Caenorhabditis elegans: one gene and its partners. Each later gene encodes a partner of the first gene's protein in a complex. Each region holds a gene or a part of one and is shown in the gene's direction. Other genes may lie near its edges. The genes, in order: cdc-73, pafo-1, rtfo-1 and leo-1.

What was found.
Region 2: cdc-73 (region 1) and pafo-1 share a complex: the UniProt entries of both Caenorhabditis elegans proteins name them as parts of the PAF1 complex.
Region 3: cdc-73 (region 1) and rtfo-1 share a complex: the UniProt entries of both Caenorhabditis elegans proteins name them as parts of the PAF1 complex.
Region 4: cdc-73 (region 1) and leo-1 share a complex: the UniProt entries of both Caenorhabditis elegans proteins name them as parts of the PAF1 complex.

Annotation. Positions count from the first base shown.
Region 1 is NC_003282.8:4,040,553-4,048,072, forward strand, and holds cdc-73 (Cell division cycle protein 73), read left to right. Parts: upstream 1-2,022; 5' UTR 2,023-2,026; coding exon 2,027-2,098; intron 2,099-2,151; coding exon 2,152-2,351; intron 2,352-2,396; coding exon 2,397-2,566; intron 2,567-3,167; coding exon 3,168-3,309; intron 3,310-4,175; coding exon 4,176-4,440; intron 4,441-4,842; coding exon 4,843-4,927; intron 4,928-5,466; coding exon 5,467-5,754; intron 5,755-6,605; coding exon 6,606-6,937; 3' UTR 6,938-7,020; downstream 7,021-7,520. Other genes in the region: F35F11.2 (DUF4200 domain-containing protein), read left to right, coding at 1-52, 147-251, 299-452, 720-980. UniProt on the Caenorhabditis elegans protein: Component of the PAF1 complex which is a multifunctional complex involved in transcription initiation via genetic interactions with TATA-binding proteins, elongation and transcription-coupled histone modification.
Region 2 is NC_003283.11:11,519,773-11,523,893, forward strand, and holds pafo-1 (RNA polymerase II-associated factor 1 homolog), read left to right. Parts: upstream 1-1,930; 5' UTR 1,931-1,993; coding exon 1,994-2,034; intron 2,035-2,085; coding exon 2,086-2,187; intron 2,188-2,236; coding exon 2,237-2,363; intron 2,364-2,417; coding exon 2,418-2,678; intron 2,679-2,730; coding exon 2,731-3,340; intron 3,341-3,396; coding exon 3,397-3,533; 3' UTR 3,534-3,612; downstream 3,613-4,121. Other genes in the region: C55A6.7 (DeHydrogenases, Short chain), read right to left, coding at 1-385, 533-661; C55A6.11 (uncharacterized protein), read left to right, coding at 860-946, 1,184-1,609, 1,655-1,762. UniProt on the Caenorhabditis elegans protein: Component of the PAF1 complex which is a multifunctional complex involved in transcription initiation via genetic interactions with TATA-binding proteins, elongation and transcription-coupled histone modification.
Region 3 is NC_003283.11:9,579,526-9,584,202, reverse strand, and holds rtfo-1 (RNA polymerase-associated protein RTF1 homolog), read left to right. Parts: upstream 1-1,558; 5' UTR 1,559-1,575; coding exon 1,576-1,730; intron 1,731-1,784; coding exon 1,785-2,151; intron 2,152-2,195; coding exon 2,196-2,664; intron 2,665-2,719; coding exon 2,720-3,286; intron 3,287-3,336; coding exon 3,337-3,529; intron 3,530-3,574; coding exon 3,575-3,665; 3' UTR 3,666-4,162; downstream 4,163-4,677. Other genes in the region: F25B3.2 (CTCK domain-containing protein), read right to left, coding at 4,257-4,328, 4,388-4,482. UniProt on the Caenorhabditis elegans protein: Component of the PAF1 complex which is a multifunctional complex involved in transcription initiation via genetic interactions with TATA-binding proteins, elongation and transcription-coupled histone modification.
Region 4 is NC_003282.8:11,327,097-11,330,897, reverse strand, and holds leo-1 (RNA polymerase-associated protein LEO1), read left to right. Parts: upstream 1-1,528; coding exon 1,529-1,584; intron 1,585-1,631; coding exon 1,632-2,028; intron 2,029-2,075; coding exon 2,076-2,249; intron 2,250-2,296; coding exon 2,297-2,391; intron 2,392-2,439; coding exon 2,440-2,539; intron 2,540-2,591; coding exon 2,592-2,922; intron 2,923-2,992; coding exon 2,993-3,132; 3' UTR 3,133-3,277; downstream 3,278-3,801. Other genes in the region: sart-3 (Spliceosome associated factor 3, U4/U6 recycling protein), read left to right, coding at 1-66, 114-451, 509-622, 672-966, 1,019-1,134; B0035.21 (Kinesin motor domain-containing protein), read right to left, coding at 3,329-3,392, 3,439-3,542. UniProt on the Caenorhabditis elegans protein: Component of the PAF1 complex which is a multifunctional complex involved in transcription initiation via genetic interactions with TATA-binding proteins, elongation and transcription-coupled histone modification.

The DNA of each region.
Region 1 (7,520 bases):
ACGAGGATGAGACCAGCGTACACATGTACAGCATGGAAACTGTCGATTATGAGTGAGTGCGGCGGCGGGAATTCAAATTTTTGATTCGAAAAAAACCCAAGCCGCGACGCGACCGCAACGCTCCTTAAAATTGATAATTATTTTAGGTATTCGGTGGAAGAGGATCACGAGGACGATGAGTACAAGTCGACGAAAAATGAAACGATCAAAAAGTTCTTGATCGATCGGAAGCAGTTGGAGAAGGCGTTGCGGTGAGATCCATGATCAAGTTTTAAGCGAAATTATCGATTTTTTCCAGATTAGCCGCTGAAAACGAGAAAAAGCTGAAATCGATGCTCGACGAGTCGGGAAAATGGTTCGATCGTTACGAGAAAATGATCGATGATCTTGATGAGCAACTGACCACGTATAATACCAATCGCAAAATCGTTCTGGATAATATTATCAACGGTGTAAGTTATTGGGGTGGCGGTGCGGTCGTGCCGCGGTTTTGGTCTGAAAATCGATATTTGATCCGTTGCGGTCGCGCCACTGCTTCAGTTCAAAAAATCTATGCTTAACGCGTTGCGGTTGCTGGGCGGTTTTCGCTAGAAATATCGATTTTCCATGCGCCGCGGTCGCGTTGCGGTACACGTTCAAAAATCAATAATTGATGCGCTGCGGTCGCGTCGCGGTTTCGGCCCCGCCGCCGTCCCCTCTGAAAAGATCAATAATTCCAGATACAACCGATGTATGAACGCTGGCAAGCGGCTCGAAAAGAGATGGCCGCCGTGAAATTCACGACGCATCGTGTAATTCCATCGCCGACCATTTTCGGCAATCTGGCTCACTACGGAATATCGATTTTACGCCAAATACTGTTCTATATGGCATATTGTCGGGATTTGGTGTCGGCCGGCGATCAGCAGAGAAGTGGCTCACCGAAATCGGATTCGACACGTACTTTGAACTCGTTGAACCTCTCGGCCGAAAATAAATGATTGATTTATTGATTTTTTTTATTTTCTGGGAAACTTGCATGAAAATCAAGAATTTTCACATAAAACGCTGAAAAACGCTGCCATCGGGTACGGTATCTCCATTTCTGTGCAAACACCGACTACAGTAACCCAAGGCGTAGAATTTGACGACAAGTTGCAGAAAAACCTCGAAAATAAGGGCAAACGTGGAATTTTCAAAGATAAGCATATAATTTGTGCTGAAATTTTTGAAATATTGTTCATTTTCACGATTTTTGTGCAATTTATGGTCGATTCTAGTGTATTGGGCTAGAGACCCGAAGAACTCGGTGGATGTCCAATTGGGGGGATTACCAACTCGACAGAACCGTGGCTTGCAATACGCCCATTTCTGCAACTGCCGCACGGTTTTAAAACTGTATTTTTCTCAATAGAGCGAGAATTAACAAGAAAAAATAATTTTAAAACCGTGCGGCAGTTGCAGAAATGGGCGTATTGCAAGCCACGGTTCTGTGGGCGGGGCCAATCCCCCGAGTTGGTAATCCCCCCAGTTGGACATCCCCCGAGTTCTTCGGGTCTTGGGCTACTGTGATCGGTGTTTGCACAGAATTCGAGCTACAGTACCACAGAAATAGCAAGATTCAAATTTTCCGTAATTGTTTATCGAACATTTTGCTGCTAATCACAACTTTAATCAAGAAATAAAGTGACAAACACGACTAAATTTTCATTTTCCTCACCTTTTTGTGCATTTCCCAACATTTTCGTAACTTTTTTACACTTTCATGGTTAATACATATTGCTTCAATAAGTTTCTTTCTTCAATTTGACTAGTTGAAAAAATCTCCACGAAATTTGCTACTTTTAAGCCTAAAAATAGGCAGATATCTCAAAATTGTAGATATTCAATTTCAAACTCGCGCTCTTTTCTCGTGGCCGCGGCCTAGAAATCCCGCTCTCTCACTGTTCTCTTCCAGATTTTTTAATTTGAAAAATAATTTATTTCGCCGCGTTTTCCTTCATTTTTCATCGATTTTCCGTCTAATTTTCTGCATTTTTTCAGCAGAATGGACCCATTGGAAGCTCTCCAAAAGCATGTGCAGAGGCCAGAAGAGTTTCCGCTGCGAGAAGTCACCGTGGTAAGTGTTTTAACGATTTTTGTCGATTTTCCAATCATTTTTCTCATTTTCAGAGCGGAATCTCGTATGTGGCGTTCGGCGACTACGCTTATAAGAAAGACACGGAGACTAGCCTCCAAATCTACGGAAAAAGCGATGAATTCTACTCTTTGGAGTCACTGGTCGTATTTCTCAAGTACTCACACGAAAATCACGGAGTTTATGTGAAAGAAGCGGCCGCCGCCGGTGTTCGAGCCGTTACACGTATTGATAGGTAGAAAATATCGATTTTTAGCCGAAAACACGTGTAATTTTTCAGAAAAAATGTGACAGAGTACCTCCAGGGTGACCGCACAGACTTTCCGGCGCTGATGAACCAAGTAAATCCGCTTTCGCTTCGCCAATTGCTCCATTCCTCGGAGCCAGAAGCAAAAAAGCCACGTTTAGACGGTGAAGCCGCCGGCGAGCCAATGGACACGAGCACTTCGGGTTATTTTAAACAAAAATCTGAAAAAAAAACTAATTTCGAGCTAAAAACCTTAAAAATTATCGTTTTTAAGCTAAAAATAAGGATTTTTAGACAAGATATGACTTGAAAATCGATTTTTAAAAGGTTTTAGCTGAAAATAACGATTTTTAAAGCTAAAAACCGACGAATTCTACGCTAAAATCCAAATTTTAGGCTAAATGCTTAATAAAAACCTACTTTCACGCTAAAAGCCCCATTTAAACCCCCAAAAATCCAATTGTGGACTAAAAAACTACAAAATAGTTAATTTAAGCCAAAAAACTGGAAAAAACGTAGTTTAAGCTGAAAATCTGAAGAAAACACCAATTTTGAGCTAAAAACCGAAAGAAAAAACTGTTTTTAAGTTAAAAATTATTGTTTTTAGCTCAAAAACAATTTTAGGTGAACATTTGAATAAAAATCCGATTTTAAGCTTAAAAAAGTATAAAATAGCTCATTTTAAGCCAAAAAGCCTGTAACTACCTTAAAAATAACCGTTTCTAAGCTAAAAATCATGATTTTTAGCAGAAATTTGCTCAAAAATCCCGATTTTTCTCAAAATTAACTCCATTTTTTTCCCAGATGAGCCCCAGGAATCCGCGGTATCCGCTGCAAAGAAAGAAGTCGAAATTCGTGCACTAAATGACAATCTGACAAAGGATAGAATTGCTGAAATGAGAAGAAAACGACAAAGTCATCGAGAAAAAGGAATAGTCACCATTGAGTACGGCAAAAAATTAGGAAAATGGGCTAAAAAGGCCAAATTTATGCTGAAAAATGATGCAAAAATGCAGATTTTAGCCTGAAAACCCGAAAATTTCACGAAATTGCGAATTTCTCAGTTTTCGGTTGAAAAATTGGGAAAATTACGTTGAAAACGTAGTTTTTACCCGAGAAAACCGAAAAACAACAGTAAAAAGCCAATTTTCGATTTAAAACAATTTTAACTGGGAAAAAATATGAAATTCAATTTTTTTTTTTCAAAATTCCCTACTAAAATTCGGATTTTCATATAAAAAACTACGCAAATCACCTAAAAAAACCGAAATTCTACCAGAAAAAAGTGATTTTCAACTCAAAAAATCTTAAATTTATCCCATTTTCATAGAACAGAGCCAATTTTCTCCAAAAACCCGATTTTTGTGCAATTTGTCGTGAATTCCGGTGTTTTGGGTTACTGTAGTCGGTGTTTGCACAGAAATGGGGCTACAGTACTCAAAATAGACATTTTTCTGGGTATTTTCGTTAAAATTTCTGAAAAAATTGTGAAAATTCATTGCAAAAAACGGAAAATCTCGATTTTCTAGGTCAAAATTTTCTTAAAAACTTGTTTAACTCGAAAATTCTTAGAAAACTCCGAATTTCTCATTTTTTGGTTCAAAAAACTACGAAAAGTCGATTTTTAGTTTGAAAATCTCGTAATTTTCTAAATTTTCACCGAAAAGTTTCCAAAAATCGGCCAATTTTTCTTTTAAAAAAAGCCTGAAAAATATAGAATTTTTATGCAAAAAAAATCCGAAAACCCCGATTTTCTAGGACAACATTTCCTCAAAAACCTGATTTTCTGATCAAGAAATTTCAATTTTTCAGTGAATCCCTATCCACACTGACGTCAGCCTCACTTCCGAAGACTCGAATCCACAAAACCCGTGAAAATGTCATGTTGGGAGCTCGAGATTTGTCAAATGTGCTCGATATTATCACTTCAGCCCAACGGCAATGGGATTTAAACGAGAAAAAGGAAAAAGTGGCGGCTGTTCATGCTACGAATCTCTCGAAAGATCAGTCTGGAGCCGCTGGTGGACAACAGCAACGTTCCGGTTATTCTAGATATGCTCAGGAAGCTTTTGCTCATGTAAGGGAGCCCCCTCCCCAAACTATGTGAAAATTTGAGAAAAATTGGTGAAAAATCGATCTTTCTGCTATTTTTCACGCAAAAATTCGGAAAATTTGATCCAAAAATTATGAAATTCGTGAAAACCGGCAATTTTTTCCTAAAAATTCAACATTTTCACCAAAAACCCGCTAAAAATGACGAATTCGGATACTGTAGCCCCGTTTCTGTGCAAACAACAACTACAGTAACCCAAAACACTGGAATTCACGACAAATTGCACAAAACTCAAAAACTGACGTAAAAATGCGATTTTTCACGCAAAAATTCGAAAATTTTGATCCAAATAAATGAAAAATTGAGAAAAGATTCGAATTTCAGTGAAATTATGTCCAAAAATCTACTAAAATTCAATTTTTTCAGGAAAAAACCAAGGAAATTCAAACGGAAGGCTCTTTTATTGGAAGTAATTTCAGCAGTATCAAGCAGGGACATCATGCGGTACAAAGTTCGTAAAATCCGAGAAATTGCAATTTTAAATTCAAAAAAATCAGAAATTTTATAAAATTTGACCCTAAATTCGAAAAACACCGAAAAATTCCCACATTTCGAAACAAAATTGGAAAACTTCATAAATTGACTTAAAATCCGGGTTTTTGTAATATTCTCACCAATTTTGACTGAAAAAACTCGTAAAAAATGCTTTTTTTTTTCATTAAAGTTGATCTGGAAAGCTGAAAATTCGGAAAATTTATGAAATTTTCACTAAAAACCTGTGAAAAACCAATTTGTGCCGGAAAATGTGATTTTTAACACAAAAATTCAGAAATTTTGCTTCAAAATGGAGAATTTCATGAAAAATGACGATTTTGGGTACTGTAGCTCTATCTCTGTGCAAACACCGACTACAGTAACCCAAAACGTCGGATTTGACGACAAATTGCACAGAATTCATAAAATTTGACCTAAAATCTGGGTTTTTTTTCTGAAATTTCTACTAAAAAATGTAAAAAACGCCAATTTTTCACAAAATTTTCAATTTTCCAGAAGCACCCGACGCTCCCCCAGGCCGTCCTCCACTCGCCAAGCCCATCCAGCTTCTGACGTCATCAACTGCCACGTCATCAGGCTCATCAGCAGCTCAAAATGGCTCAAAACGGACGTCTCGCTCCCCGATCATCATCGTTCCGTCGGCAATGAATACGATGATAAATTTGTACAATGTTCGAGATATTCTGCAGAATTTCAGCTATGTTCCTGTTGATCAGCGACGAAAAGAGACGAATAAGAAGCCTGTCGATTTGGCTATTCAACGGCAGAAAAATGGTGTTACTTGTGCGTTTTTTTGGCTGGAAATGCGATTTTTCACGCGAAAATTTGGAAATTTTGACCCAAAAAATGAGAAAAACTAAGATTTGTGCTTGAAAATCTGAATTTATTGGAAAAATTTGAAATTCTTGAGCCAAAAATGCTGAAAATTAAACATTTCGACGAAAAAAACCCCGAAAAATGACGGTTTTGAGTACTGTAGCCCCATTTCTGTGCAATCACCGACTACAGTAACCCAACACATCTGAATTTACGACAAAATTCTGAAAATGGTCAAATCCTTCTCGAAAACTTGCGTTTTGCCTGAAATTTACGATTGTTTACGCGAAAATTCGAATATTTTAACCCAAAAATAATGAAAATCGTAAAATCCACCGGTTTTTGCGCAAAAATGGAAAATGTTGACTTAAAAACTTGAAAAATGAGACGATTTTGGGTACTGTAGCCCCATATCTGTGCGACCACAGACTACAGTAACCCAAAACACCGAAATTTACGACAAATTACACAAAACTTGAAAATAGACTTGAAAATTCGATTTTTCTCGAAAAAGTCCTTTTTAAAGTGATTTAAAATAATTTTAAGCTAAAAAATTGGAAAAATACGCAATTTTTCAAAATTTGTTTGGAAATTTGAGCAAAAAGCGTAAAACCCTGAAATTTCGAGAAAAAAACTGAAATCTTCACCTAACCTTTCGAAAATACTCAATTTTAACCAAACATTTCGAAAAAACTAGACGTTTCAGGCAATATTCGCTGCAAAAATGGTATTTTTTGGGATTTTTAACCGATTTTAAGCTAAAAATTCGAAAAAAAAACAAAAACTCCATTTTAACCTAAAATTTGAAATTGATTCAGACAATATCCGCGTAATCGACAATGCCGAGAAGCTTGCCAATGATGATTGGGATCGTGTGATCGCCGTCTTCGTAATGGGTGTCGCGTGGCAATTCAAAGGCTGGAAATGGAATGGAAATCCGACGGACATCTTCACCCACATTCCTGCATTCCATTTCCACGTCGACCAGGATAAGCCGGTGGCTCAAGTGATGCAGTGGAATGTACACAAGATTCCAGTCTCGGCGACGAAACGGCACATGGATAAGGCTCGATTCAGTCAAGTTTGGGAGACAATCGAGAATTTTGTACGCAAGAACAAGCCACATCTCACCGCCCGTCTTGGACTCTGAAAATTCTCGGAAATTTTCTTTTTTTCTTCATTTTTTGCAAATTTATTTATTCATCACTTTTGATTTTATTAAAAATGCCATTTTTCTTCAAACAATTTTTAATCGAAAATTCAAATTTTTAGCGAAAAAATCATTTTCCACGTGGCGAAATCGTCATTTTTGGAGTGGAGAAAATTCGATTTTCAAGCGGAAAATTGCCCAATTTTCGTCAGTTTTCGTCAGCCAGGCGGCGCGGTCGCGTCGCGGCAACAAATTTTTTAATTCGTGAATTTTCAAGGTAATATTTTGGAGAAAAATTCAAATTTTCCAGTTAAACATTGTTTCGTTTTTTGGCCAAAATTGCCTTCTAGGATTTTCGAAATATTGCTCCATTGGCCACGCGGAGCGGTCGCTTCGCGGCTTTTTTTTTTTTCATGATTACTGGCTCAAAACTAGACACTTTGAATTCCCAAGTTAAATTCATTTGTCAAAATTCTTCAAAAGAGTTCGGGGAGTAGTGCGATTCAGAAAGCAGAAAGTGAGAAAAAAATTAGAGGTATAGCACAAGTATTAGAAATATACCAAAAAATTAGGTGAAAATTAG
Region 2 (4,121 bases), on another chromosome or scaffold:
CCATTGCTTTATATTCACCAGAACCACTGGTATTTTCAGAAATTGAACCAAGAAATTCGGATGCAATATTAATGATTGCACCACGAGAAACGGAAAGTGTATCGCCTTCCTGTCGTTTCGAAGCTTTGATTATGAGTGGTACAAGGCTTTGTGTAAGCATCATTGGACCAATTGTATTTGACTCAAACAAATCCAGAACAACTTTTCGATCAGGTTTTTGTTTTGTTACATATGGAAGCATCACAGCTGCATTATTTATAAGAAGAGTTAATCCAGATTCTCCAACAATTTCAGACACTTTTTCAGCAAAATTTGCAATTGATTCATCGGATCCGAGTGAGAGTTGAAGAATGTGAAGTCGTGGATCACAAATTCCCTTGAGAGCCTGAAAAATTGGAAATTAAGAATGCCGTAGTCCAATACATGTTGTTGGGAAATTTTTACCATATACAAATATTAGGAACACAAACCTAATACAAATAACTATAATCTCAGCAACGGATAAAGTATAAATAAACTCGAAAAAACTTACAGTTGCCTTATCAACATCTCTTGCAGTCGCAATGACATGCTGAACATTTGGATCTTTCAGAAATTGTTGAACTAATCCAAATCCCAATCCTCGATTGGATCCGGTTACCACAACTGATTTTGGAGACATTTTCACTAGAATTTAAGCATAGAATTGAATTAACAGAAATCGAAAATCAATGAATGATGATTATTATTTCTTATCAATAGTATTTCTCTTCTGTTCTGCAAAATAAACAGCGTGATGAACTGCCACAATAATTAGTTTGGTTTATTGCAGTTTTTAGTTTATTTCGGAATTTCTGAGAAGAGATCAAAGAATTAGACAATGAAGAAAACTATGATAATTTCGATTTTGGTTAATACAGTTTTGCTCTTCAATCAAGTGTTGGTTGCGAACGGGGAAAATGTGAATGTAGGTTTACACAGGAGATGTTATAAAGGACTTTCCTTGGTTCTATTCCTGAGCTTTTCCAGTTGTCCCTGGGAAATTTTCTTTCAAATATTTTTAATGAAAGAGAAACGATAGACAAAAAAAGATAGACAAAAAACTAGGCGCAATTTGTTTTGCTATTGTTATGTTTTTGTAGGTTATGAGCAATTTCAAAATAAGATCTTTCTAGAAAATTGTAAAAATATTATTTCATTCAAGGTATCCTGCCCAATTTTATCCCGAACTCGACACAAAGAACTTCGAACTTTCATGTACAAAAACTGCACTTCCGGTTTCAAGACATGCTTTCAACAAATTATGCTCACTGAAATCGTTCGAAATGAGCAACACGCATTTCTATTTGCCTCTGGTTGTGCTTCGAAGGAAATTCTCAAGCCATTCAATCTAACCGAGGAAACATTCATGAAGTTATGTGACAAGAAAAAAGTGGGACGATGTGTTCATACATACCAGCATCGAGTTTATTATGGTACACTCTGCTGTGAAAGGAATTCGGAAAAAATGTTCGGATCTTGGCTGTGGGATGTTTTCTTTGGAAGTAGTGAAGAGCTAAATGCTGAAATGGAGAATACTGTTAGCTTTGTTCAGCGTGAAAGTATCGGAATGCACGATGATCATGATAATGTAGGCTTTAAAAGTTCACAACCCCACATTTATATAATTTTCCAGAAAGGAGCATTGGCTCTCTACATTGCTGGACCATTCATTGTCACCTTTATATTTACATTATTGTCCCTTTTACAATATTATCATGTTAATGATGGCATTTTGTCATAAAATAAATATTATCGTGACGAGAACGCTGGAAATTCACAAAACAAAAAATACTTTTTGAACACCCGCGCAAAACTGGTTATGCGCCATTGTTCCCTGCTGACGCGCATTGAGCGCTTGCGCAAAACCCGTGTGTGAGAGTTTGAATTTAATTCCCTCGGTGACTAGTTTTTTCGATTTGCAGCCGTTTCTGCCGATTGGTATCTTAATATTATAACTAAATTACTATAAAAAATGCCCCAAGAATCCTCAGATGCCAAAAGGATTGAACCTCCGTAAGTATTATTGTTTTGAATCGCTAGAAAAGTTTTGAAAACATTTTGCAGACGAAAAGTGGATTTCATGCTGAAACCTCGATTTACCAATACTGTTCCTGATGTCCCATTTGATGCAAAGTTTATGACTTGTCCATTTGTTCCTCTGGGAAGGTACACCAATTTTGAAACGTTTGACATTGTTCAATATCTCTGAATTTAGATTTGTCGAATTCCAACCTGCTGCCATTTATCGAGATTACAAGCATGCAGTCATTTGTGACGACGACATGGGTTTGAATGTCGATTTGATTGATCTAAAAAAATACGACGAAGATCCAATCGAAACTGTAGGTTTTTTCCTGAAATATACAGTTTCAAAGATAGAAATGTTTCACTTTTAGGAAATTGATGAGAAAGACAATATTTTACTGGAAGATGATGGCGCCGCTAAATTGATTGCAAAACGATCTCAACAGCATTCTAAACTTGTTCCATGGATGAGAAAAACCGAGTACATTTCAACTGAATTCAATCGGTTCGGTGTGACAGCCGATAGACAGGAGACGAAGCTTGGTTATAACTTGAAGAAAAATCAACAAGTTGAAGATATGTATCGTGACAAGCAGAGTCAAATTGATGCCATTAACAAGACATTTGAAGATGTAAGTACCAGAATATATTTTTTTGATTTAAATCTACTTTTGCGTATTTTAGGTTCGTAAACCCGTCAAGGAGCATTACTCCAAGAAGGGTGTAAAAGCTGTTGAAGAAAGCTTTGTCTTCCCTGATTTCGATCACTGGAAACACCTCTTTGCTCATGTACAATTTGATGGAGACACTATAACAACAGAATTCGAAGAAGAAGATGAACGACAACAAGCACGGGAGAGCAGTGTTATTAAAGCCATGGAATTCGAAGATCAAAAATTTGCAGCAGTTTTTGTTCCAACGATTGGATGTCTTACGAGTTTTATGGATGATCTTGAGTTAGAACGACCATTTGATGAGGATATGAAGTACGAATTCTTGCTAAGCCGTGAATACACATTTAAAATGGAACACTTGCCACCAAGGGATCGTGACGTCTTCATTATGTATCATCGTAATAACGTTTTCCAGTACAACGAAGTTGACTGTAATGTCAAGATGACAAGAAAACCAAAAATGGCATTGAGCAGAAAATCCAAATTGACACTCACATACCGAAATCCTTCCGAACTGGAACAAAAAGACATGAATAAAAGAGAGGCTGAGTTATACGAACAGCCAAAGACCAGAAAACAAGAGATTCTGGAAAAGATTCAAGAGAAGAAAGAAGAAGGTGGTGAGTAAATTTAAGTTTTGAAGTGTTATTTTCCACGCGAACATGCAATTTTTCAGGAGACAGTTCAGATCAGAGCAGTGATTCTGATGACGACAAGCCGCAGAAATCACGATCTGATAGCTCTTCGGACGTTTCATCAGATGACGATTCACCACGGAAAAAGGAACCGACTGTTGACAGCGACAGTGATTGATCTCAAATTTTTAAAATTGTTTTTCTATTTATTTTACCTAATCAAATTGGTTTTTCTCAGTAAACTTGATAACGATTTCAACTATTTGTTCGATTGATCTTCATGAATCTTCGCTAAAAGTGCAAGTATGATTTGACTCACAATTGAAGAAAAAACCAACAGCGGAAACACCAACACCCGCAAAGTTCTGTTTGTGTAGGTGTCTGTTGCTTGCGCTTATGTGCTCCACGTTCTATTCTTTGATTTGTCATGCGGAAGCAACAGGATCAGAGGGCAAGACGTTTAGTTTTGGGGGAAATTCGAACTACCGTTCTGATTGGAATGCGTATTGCGAAACATTGAATATATCCCGTAGCGAAAACTACAGTAATTCTTTAAATGACTACTGTAGCAATAGATTTTCGAAACTACAGTGCATTTTTTTTCCACTTCTACGACTTTAAAGGCGCGCGTATTTATACAAAATGGTCCCGTCATTGGTCTCGCCACGCGCTCAACAAATCAAAGGGATGCGCGTGGCGAGACCATTGCGCGAAAATGCGCGCGCCTTTAAAGTCGTAGAAGTTGTAAAAAAAGCACTGTATTCCA
Region 3 (4,677 bases), on another chromosome or scaffold:
TGGTTAGAACTGTCGGAAAAGCAAAATGGATTGTGTTCGAGAAAATATGAACATTTGGAAAGTTTTGAGTTCTGAAGCTTTAAAAGAATAATAAGATAAAATACGTTCACAAAGTCTTTTGAAATTTTATACGGGCAACTCGGACTGAAAAAGTTAGACAATCAATGTGAAATCGGGTTTTTTACAGAAAGTCTCTATATTTAGCGTTAAATTAAAATTGAATGTTACTAATGTGAACATTTGTTGAATTGGACATCAAGATTTTGTTTCGCAATTATTTACCGTAATCTTGAAGGCGCATATACAAATATATAGAGGGCCGTAAATTGATACGAGCTACAGTAACTCGTTGTCCGAGTGGCGAGACCCCTGCGAGTAAAGTATAACCAACATTAAAATATCTAAACGTCTGCGTTATACGGAATTTTTTATGTATTAAACACAAATGAGTCTCTCTTAAAAACTCGTAGAAAGAAAACATGCAGTATTTCAATAATCAGATAACTTACCAAAATTAAACTCTGCCTCAGCTGCTCCTCCATTGTGTCGATGGGATTCGAACCGCAAATTCTTCATTTTCTTCGAAAACTTCGCTTACTACTTCTACTAATTGTCGAATGGCAACAGGAAACACGAAAAGAAAGATTATCCTTTATTTCTGATTCTCTGTATCTCCAGGTCTACCTAAACACTTTAATAGAACAACTGTTCACTAAAGAGCATTTGATCTTTCTTTTTTCGTTTTTTCTTCTCTTACATCGTTTAACCTGGAAAAGGGGTTGTATTTCCGTAAGCCATCTACCCTTGTCTCTTCTTATGTTTTTTTCTTGATTAATGGTTTTTGAGAATACTGTGAGAGCATAAGAGATTTGAAAAACCTATAAGAACACTTCGGATTCCCACAGGATGGGCACTAAAGAATTAGTTTTTCTAAACTTCAGAAAATGGGAGTGTCTCTCAATTTCCTTATCGATTATAAAAGTGTTTGGTATTTATATATAAATCCATTAAATATACATAGCTTGCACCATGACCTACAGCAACAGAAGCCAATATCCCAATTGTGTGCGACAACCTTGCAAAATAGCGTGCGCGGCTTGCAAAGTGGGCGGGACTAAATGTATTGACACTGTGCAGTTTGAATGTAAAAATTTATTCTTAATTTTCGGTATTTTCTTTGGTTTTTCGTTATTATAATTGATTTTTAATGATTCTTTATTATTATCTTAATTCAAAGAGTAGAAAAACTTTATTGCACCCGTCCTTTTTGTTTCTCGAATCCAATATTGACACATTTTTTGAGAAACTTAAGTTTTTTCTTAATTTTTCGAATATTTTCGACAAAAACGCGCATATATCATTAAAAATATGACACTTTTCCTTGTTTCTTTTATTTGTTTAAATATTTGTATGAAACCTATTGTTCGTAGCCATCTTGCAACTGTGTGTCGATATCGATTTTCCCAGAACAAATGTCAGACGCTCTACATCACTTTTATACAACCGTTTCTTCTCACCGTTCTCTAATAATTTATTCAATTCATAATTATGTTCTCAGGGTCAGTTTAATCAACAATGTCTTCCTCTGAGAGTGCTTCATCAGACGAAGAGACAAAACGCCGTGCTCCAGCCACTTCAGATTCCGATTCTGACTCAGACGCAGGTCCAAAACCTGGAAAACCTCTCAGTACCGACTCCTCGGCATCCGATTCAGATGCCGAAAAACCACAGTGAGTTTTACTGTTTTCTATCCAAAAAAAAGTTATACGAGTTTCCATTTTCAGGGCAAAGCCTGCAAAAAAGAAGACTTTAACAAAGCGAAAGCGGCGAGCTACTGGAAGTAGTGACGATGACCAAGTAGATGATGATTTATTTGCTGACAAAGAAGACAAAGCAAGATGGAAGAAATTGACAGAATTGGAAAAGGAGCAAGAAATTTTTGAAAGGATGGAGGCTCGTGAAAACGCGATTGCTCGAGAAGAAATTGCTCAACAACTTGCTAAAAAAGCAAAGAAAAGTTCTGAAAAGGGAGTCAAAACCGAAAAACGAAGGAAAATGAACAGTGGTGGAAGTGATGCAGGTTCCCCGAAACGCAAAGCTTCATCGGATTCCGATTCTGAGATGGATGCTGCTTTCCACCGACCCAGTGATGTAAGTTTATTTTTTTATTTTTCAAATAAAAATTTTTATTCCAGATTAACCGCAAACATAAAGAGAAGAATGCTATGGATGCTCTGAAGAACAAACGTAAAGAGATCGAAAAGAAAAATGCAAAAAACGAAGCACTCTCTATCGATGCTGTTTTTGGAGCTAATTCGGGATCTTCAAGTTCGTCTAGTTCAAGCGAAAGCTCTCGTTCATCATCTTCTTCCCGCGAATCATCACCAGAACGTGTATCCGAAAAAGATAAGATAGTAAAGAAAGATGTTGATGGACTTTCGGAACTTCGAAGAGCTCGATTGTCCCGTCATAAACTTTCATTGATGATTCATGCCCCATTCTTTGATTCTACTGTCGTAGGATGCTATGTTCGACTTGGACAAGGGCAAATGAGTGGCTCAGGAAGCAAATATCGGATATGGAAGATTGTCGGTGTGGAGGAATCCAACAAAGTCTACGAATTGGAAGGAAAAAAGACAAATAAAATCATAAAATGTCAGAATGGTGAGTTGTTTATTTACTTGTGAAAATTTGAAATCTGTTACAACCTTAACTGCAGGTGGATCAGAACGACCATTCCGTATGCAATTCGTTTCAAATGCTGATTTCGAACAAATTGAGTTTGATGAATGGCTTCTGGCATGTAAGAGACACGGAAATCTTCCAACCGTCGATATTATGGATAAGAAAAAACAAGATATCGAAAAAGCAATCAACCACAAGTATTCGGACAAAGAAGTCGATCTGATGATCAAGGAAAAGAGCAAATATCAAACAGTTCCACGAAATTTCGCTATGACAAAAGCTAATTGGTCCAAGCAAAAAGAGCTGGCTCAACAACGAGGTGACATTCGAGAAGCCGAACAAATTCAAACTAAAATCGATGAGATTGAACGACAAGCTGATGAATTGGAGAAAGAGCGAAGCAAGTCAATTAGTGCGATTGCGTTCATTAACCATAGGAATCGATCAAAAATAAAGGACCAAGTCCTGAGTGGGCAATTGAAGATCGAAGAGAATTCACAGGATGATCCTTTTACACGTAAGAAGGGAGGTATGCGTGTTGTTTCTGGATCTAAATCAAGACTTGACGGAACTCTTTCCGCATCTTCATCAACCACAAATTGTAAGTTAATAGGAAATATCAATTTTTTGACATAACTTTATAATTTTCAGTATCTGACGGCGGAAAAGACAAAAGTTCATCATTGGCTAAACCGACGCAACCTCCTCCATCTACTCAAATAAAGAAAAAAACTGATATATCCAGTCTGCATGACTTTGATCTAGACATCGATTTGGGTAAATTGAAGGATTTTAGTACGCCGGAATCGTCAGGAAACAAACGTCCATCAATTAGTTCTTCCAAGTTAGCACATCTTATAGTGGACTATTTTAATTGCTATATTTTCAGAGGAGTGTCACTTAGTGATTATCGAATGCGTCGATCAGGAGGTGGTGACGCTGGATCCTCCACATCAGCTGCACCATCCTCAGCAGTTTGAACTGTCTTTTTCTACATCTCTTTGATTTTCTCAGCGTTACCCCCCTCATCCCTCATCGTTACGTTTTACTTATTTTCTTTCGTTTTATAAACTGATCAAAACTTGTTCAATTCCTTCATTATACTATTCCGTTCATTTTTTCCAATTTTTGAGAACACATTTTTTTAGCTTTTAATTTCGTCAGAATAAAATAAATCGTAATAAAGATAGCAATTGCAGAATGCAAGAAATGGAACATTTTATGAATCCTTCACCGTTTGTTTTAGATCTTTCCCACTCACTGATACTCCTCACCAATCCCAAACCTTTAATTTTAAATTTTCTATGTGATTCTATTGATTTTCACCCTCATTCATCTTTTCATGTTTTATTCCTTTTTTGATTCCTTGTGACTACTGTATTCCTAGGTTAACGGATGTAAACCAAAAATCTGTGTGAATTTTTTGAAACTTTTCTAATAATTTTTCGTGCAATTAATGAATAAACTCAAAGTTCTTTTCACGTTTTTATTCCATCTTTCAGGATTAGAAACCCGGTATACAGAAATGGTTTGGAATGTGAACGAAGAATTGTAATTTAACATCTTAAGCGCTACAGCTCTTTACTCGGCTTGGCTCGAAGAAATGAGCTTTTGCTCAGTGAGCATTGACAGGCAACAGGGAGCTGGAAAGGAAGGGATTAGATTATTTCGAGATTAATACAATAAGAGAAATAAGACAAACCTGGATTTGTTCAACAATCCAATCCTCACAATTATCATCCCCTGTGTTTCGTAGAACTTTGAATGAGAGGGTCTGAATGCCACATTGACCATGAGCTGGAAATATATTTCAATCACAAATTACATGTAATCAACGGACCCCTCAGTTGAAAAACGTAGAACGCTCTCATTACGTAAACGTCCAAATTGATCATTTTCGCCATACAATACGTACATGGGTCTCGCCACGCAGACATTGACATACAGTAGCTCGTGTCGATTTACGGGGCCTACATTGTCTCATGTTTTAAA
Region 4 (3,801 bases), 7.3 Mb from region 1:
ATCATATTCAGAAGAGAACGTCGGGAGGTGAACCAATTGTAAAAAAAGTGAAAGGAGACGACGGAGGTAAATAATTTTTAAAAGTAAAGAAGTTAATTTGAATTAAATTTTAGGATTCAAAGCTCCACTTCCACCATCCAATGCGAAAAGTTCATCAGCTGTATCCTCTTCAAATGCTTCGTCGACACCAGCTCCAGGTTCCTTTGCAGTTCAGAAAGCAGCTCCAGGAACGGAAGATGCTCGCACAATTTTTGTTTCTAATCTCGATTTCACTACGACGGAAGACGAAATTCGACAAGCCATTGAAGGTGTTGCTTCAATTCGATTCGCAAGAAAAGCGAATTCGGATCTTGTGCACAGAGGGTTCGCCTATGTTGTAATGGAGAATGATCAGAAGGCACAGCAAGCTCTCTTGAAAGATCGAGTTCCTGTGAAGGGAAGGCCAATGTTTGTAAGTTTTAATTTTACTTTATAAATATTTGTGAAATTTTAATTTCTGAAAATTCAGATCTCCGCCAACGATCCAGAAAAACGGGTTGGATTCAAATTCTCAACCACTCTTGAAAAATCGAAAGTCTTCGTTCGCAATGTCCACTTCCAGGCAACCGACGATGAGTTAAAGGTAATATATACTTATCTATCATTTTATATTCTAAATCGATACATTTCAGGCATTATTCTCGAAATTCGGTACAGTAACCAGTGTTCGACGCGTGACTCATAAAGATGGAAAACCAAAAGGAATCGCATTCGTAGATTTTGACACAGAAGCAAGTGCTCAAAAATGTGTTGCTTCTGGTGATAAATTGATGCTTCGAGAAAGAGAACTAGAGGTAGCGTTATCCAATCCACCAGTAAAAAAGGATAAATCGCATGGAAAACCAGCAGCAATTGGAGCAAGTTTGGAAGAAGATGGACCTAGAAAAGGACATGCTGCAAAACTGCAATTGGTTCCCAGAGCTATTAGTAAGTATATCATCTTTAGTTCCCAGCTTAGCATAAAAAAATCCATTTTCAGCAAACAAAACTCCTCAAATCACTGCTCGGCTGGACGCAATGGATGTTTCCGAAGGCACTTCAACGTCTCAGCCACTTTCAAATGATCAATTCCGTAAAATGTTTATGAAAAATTAGGGCCGTTTTTCACCAGAAACTTTCATTGTTCATATCAAGATTCATTTAGTTATTTAATTTCTATTACGTTCCCCAGTGTCTCCTTTCCAATTAAAATTCCGGTAGATGCTATTTTTGATGTTCTCGCTATAATTATATTTGTTCTTCACTACGAATTGCAAGATTTAGTTTCATAACTGTTCATAATCCTTGTTTTCTTTTTGTTTGCTAATAATTTGTAATAGAGATCCCCCAATATTCATTTTCAACTTATTGCCTATGGATAAGAAAATCTGAATTTTCAACAACTACTTTTATTATTCAATTTTTATCGGTATATTCGACCCCAAATTATTACTTTGTTTTGCTACTTTCGCTATTCAAAGAACTTAGGTATGCAATATTTTCAATTCAGATGTCATCTTCTGAGGGTAATTCTGACGCTTCTGCACCAGGAACACCAGTTAAATCGTAAGTAAATGGTAATTGTGTTTCTAAAATAATATAATTCAATTCAGATCAACTCCATCTTCTCGTGGATCGTCGCCAGATTCACCAAAAAAACAAGAACCGTCTAAGAAAAGAGCGATATTAAATGAGTCCGACGATGATGATGATTCTCGTCCTGCTCCTCGACAATTGTCCGATTCTTCTGACGATAACATTCATCCGAGAGGAGGAGGTGAAAAGAGTTCCCCCGGTGCTGGTGGTGGTTTGTTCGGTGATCTCTCTGGCTCTTCCGACGATGATTCCGACAGAGAAGGAAAGCCGAAAGAATCAAATACAAGAGCACGATTGTCAGATTCCGATGCGGAGAGTCGTGGAAGTTTGAATGATTTGCAAGGAATTGTGATGGCTAATCCAGATGAAATAGATGAAGATGAAAAAGCAAAGGAGCATGTTCATGATACTGAAGTAAACATTTTCAATGAAATAATGTGATTAAAACATTGATTTTCCAGATGGTAACAGGTCGTGTTACTTTGGAGTACGCTGCAGATCCACCACATTTTGTCAGAATGCCAAACTTTCTATCAGTCGCCACTCATCCATTTGATCCACAACATTACGAGGAAGACGAAGATGATGAGCAGGCGAAATTGGATGATGAAGGACGAACACGTCTCAAATTGAGAGTATGTCTGTGTTATAAATACATCTCATCAAATATACAATTTTTAAGGTGGAAAATACACTTCGCTGGCGAGTTCGCAAAGATGAAAATGGAAAAGAAATTCGAGAGAGTAATGCAAAAATTGTAAAATGGGACGATGGAACGTTAGTTTTCAATTGATGCAAAATTTCCATATCGTGACTTAATTTCAGAATGTCTCTATACCTCGGAAACGAAATTTTCGAAGTCTCATTGGTGCCGCTGAATTCCAATAATCTTCCCCATCTTTACGTTAAGCAGCCAACATTAATGGTATTTTGATTGTTAATGTTTTTATTTTAATCAAAATTTATGTCATTTTTAGTCGGCTCAAGCTGTTCTTACACATCGTATGACCTTCCGTCCTCACTCGACTGATTCCCAAACTCACAGAAAAGTCACACTCAATATGGCAGATCGAAGCAGGAAGAATGCTCAAGTTAAAGTCATGGACGATGTTGGTCAGAATCCGGAAATTACACGGCGTGAGAATGCCCGGAAGGAGGAAGAATCACTTCGTGCACACATCCGACGTACTCAGATGGTTCGGAATAACTTTAAAGTTCGTGGTCCGAGATATGCAGGACAATATTCTGATGATGAAGATATGCCAACGTCATCCAGAAAAGGAAAGAAGAAGGAAGCACCAATTATTGGTAAGTTCAATTTAATTTTGATTAGGACTTTACCAGAATAAAGAAACTGTACTACAATAATATATTTCAGGTGCCAGCTCAGAAAGTGAGGACGATCATGCGGATACCACAAAGAAAAGCGGATCGGATAGCGATTCTGATGAAGAGTACCGAAAGAGAAAACAACAACAAAAGAAACAGATTGTCACCAGTGACGAAGAATCTGACTAAATTTATTTCAATTTTGATCCTCACAATTTTATATTTCGCGAATTCAATATTTCTCCCTTTACAATATTTCGAAAATGTTTTCCTTTCCTTATTTATTTTAGTCTTCGATATTTCGAGATAATGAAACATCCACAATATTATGAAAAACCGAGCTTTTATTTCTTAATTTCAATCAGATTGTATGTAATATTTAAAATCATACATCCACTACGTCTTCCTCGCTTCTCAAAGAATTGGCATCAAGTGTCGTATCATAAATTCTGAAACTTGAAATAATCTACGATTTCAGAATTCTCAAAATCAAACCTCCGTGTTTTATCGTTTTCCATTGCTCTTGGGGAAATCGATACATTTAATATCAACTGAGCTTCTTCTTGATTTCCAGAGCTTCTCGATCGCAGTAAAAACATCAATATAATGATTTGAAAGAAGATTCCATAAATTAAAATTCGAAAAACTATAGGTTTTGACTTTTGATTCCAGAGTATTTTAAACATCTTTGTGGAAAATGTAGGAAATGATTTTTCACGTTTGATAAAGAAACTGACTAATAAATTTTTACATCTAACAACAAATCTTTGAATCAATCATATTATAATATACACGGAACCACTATGTCCGAAAGATTTAAAATTTAAAAAAATTGAAATTGAAAAAAGTATTCATTGA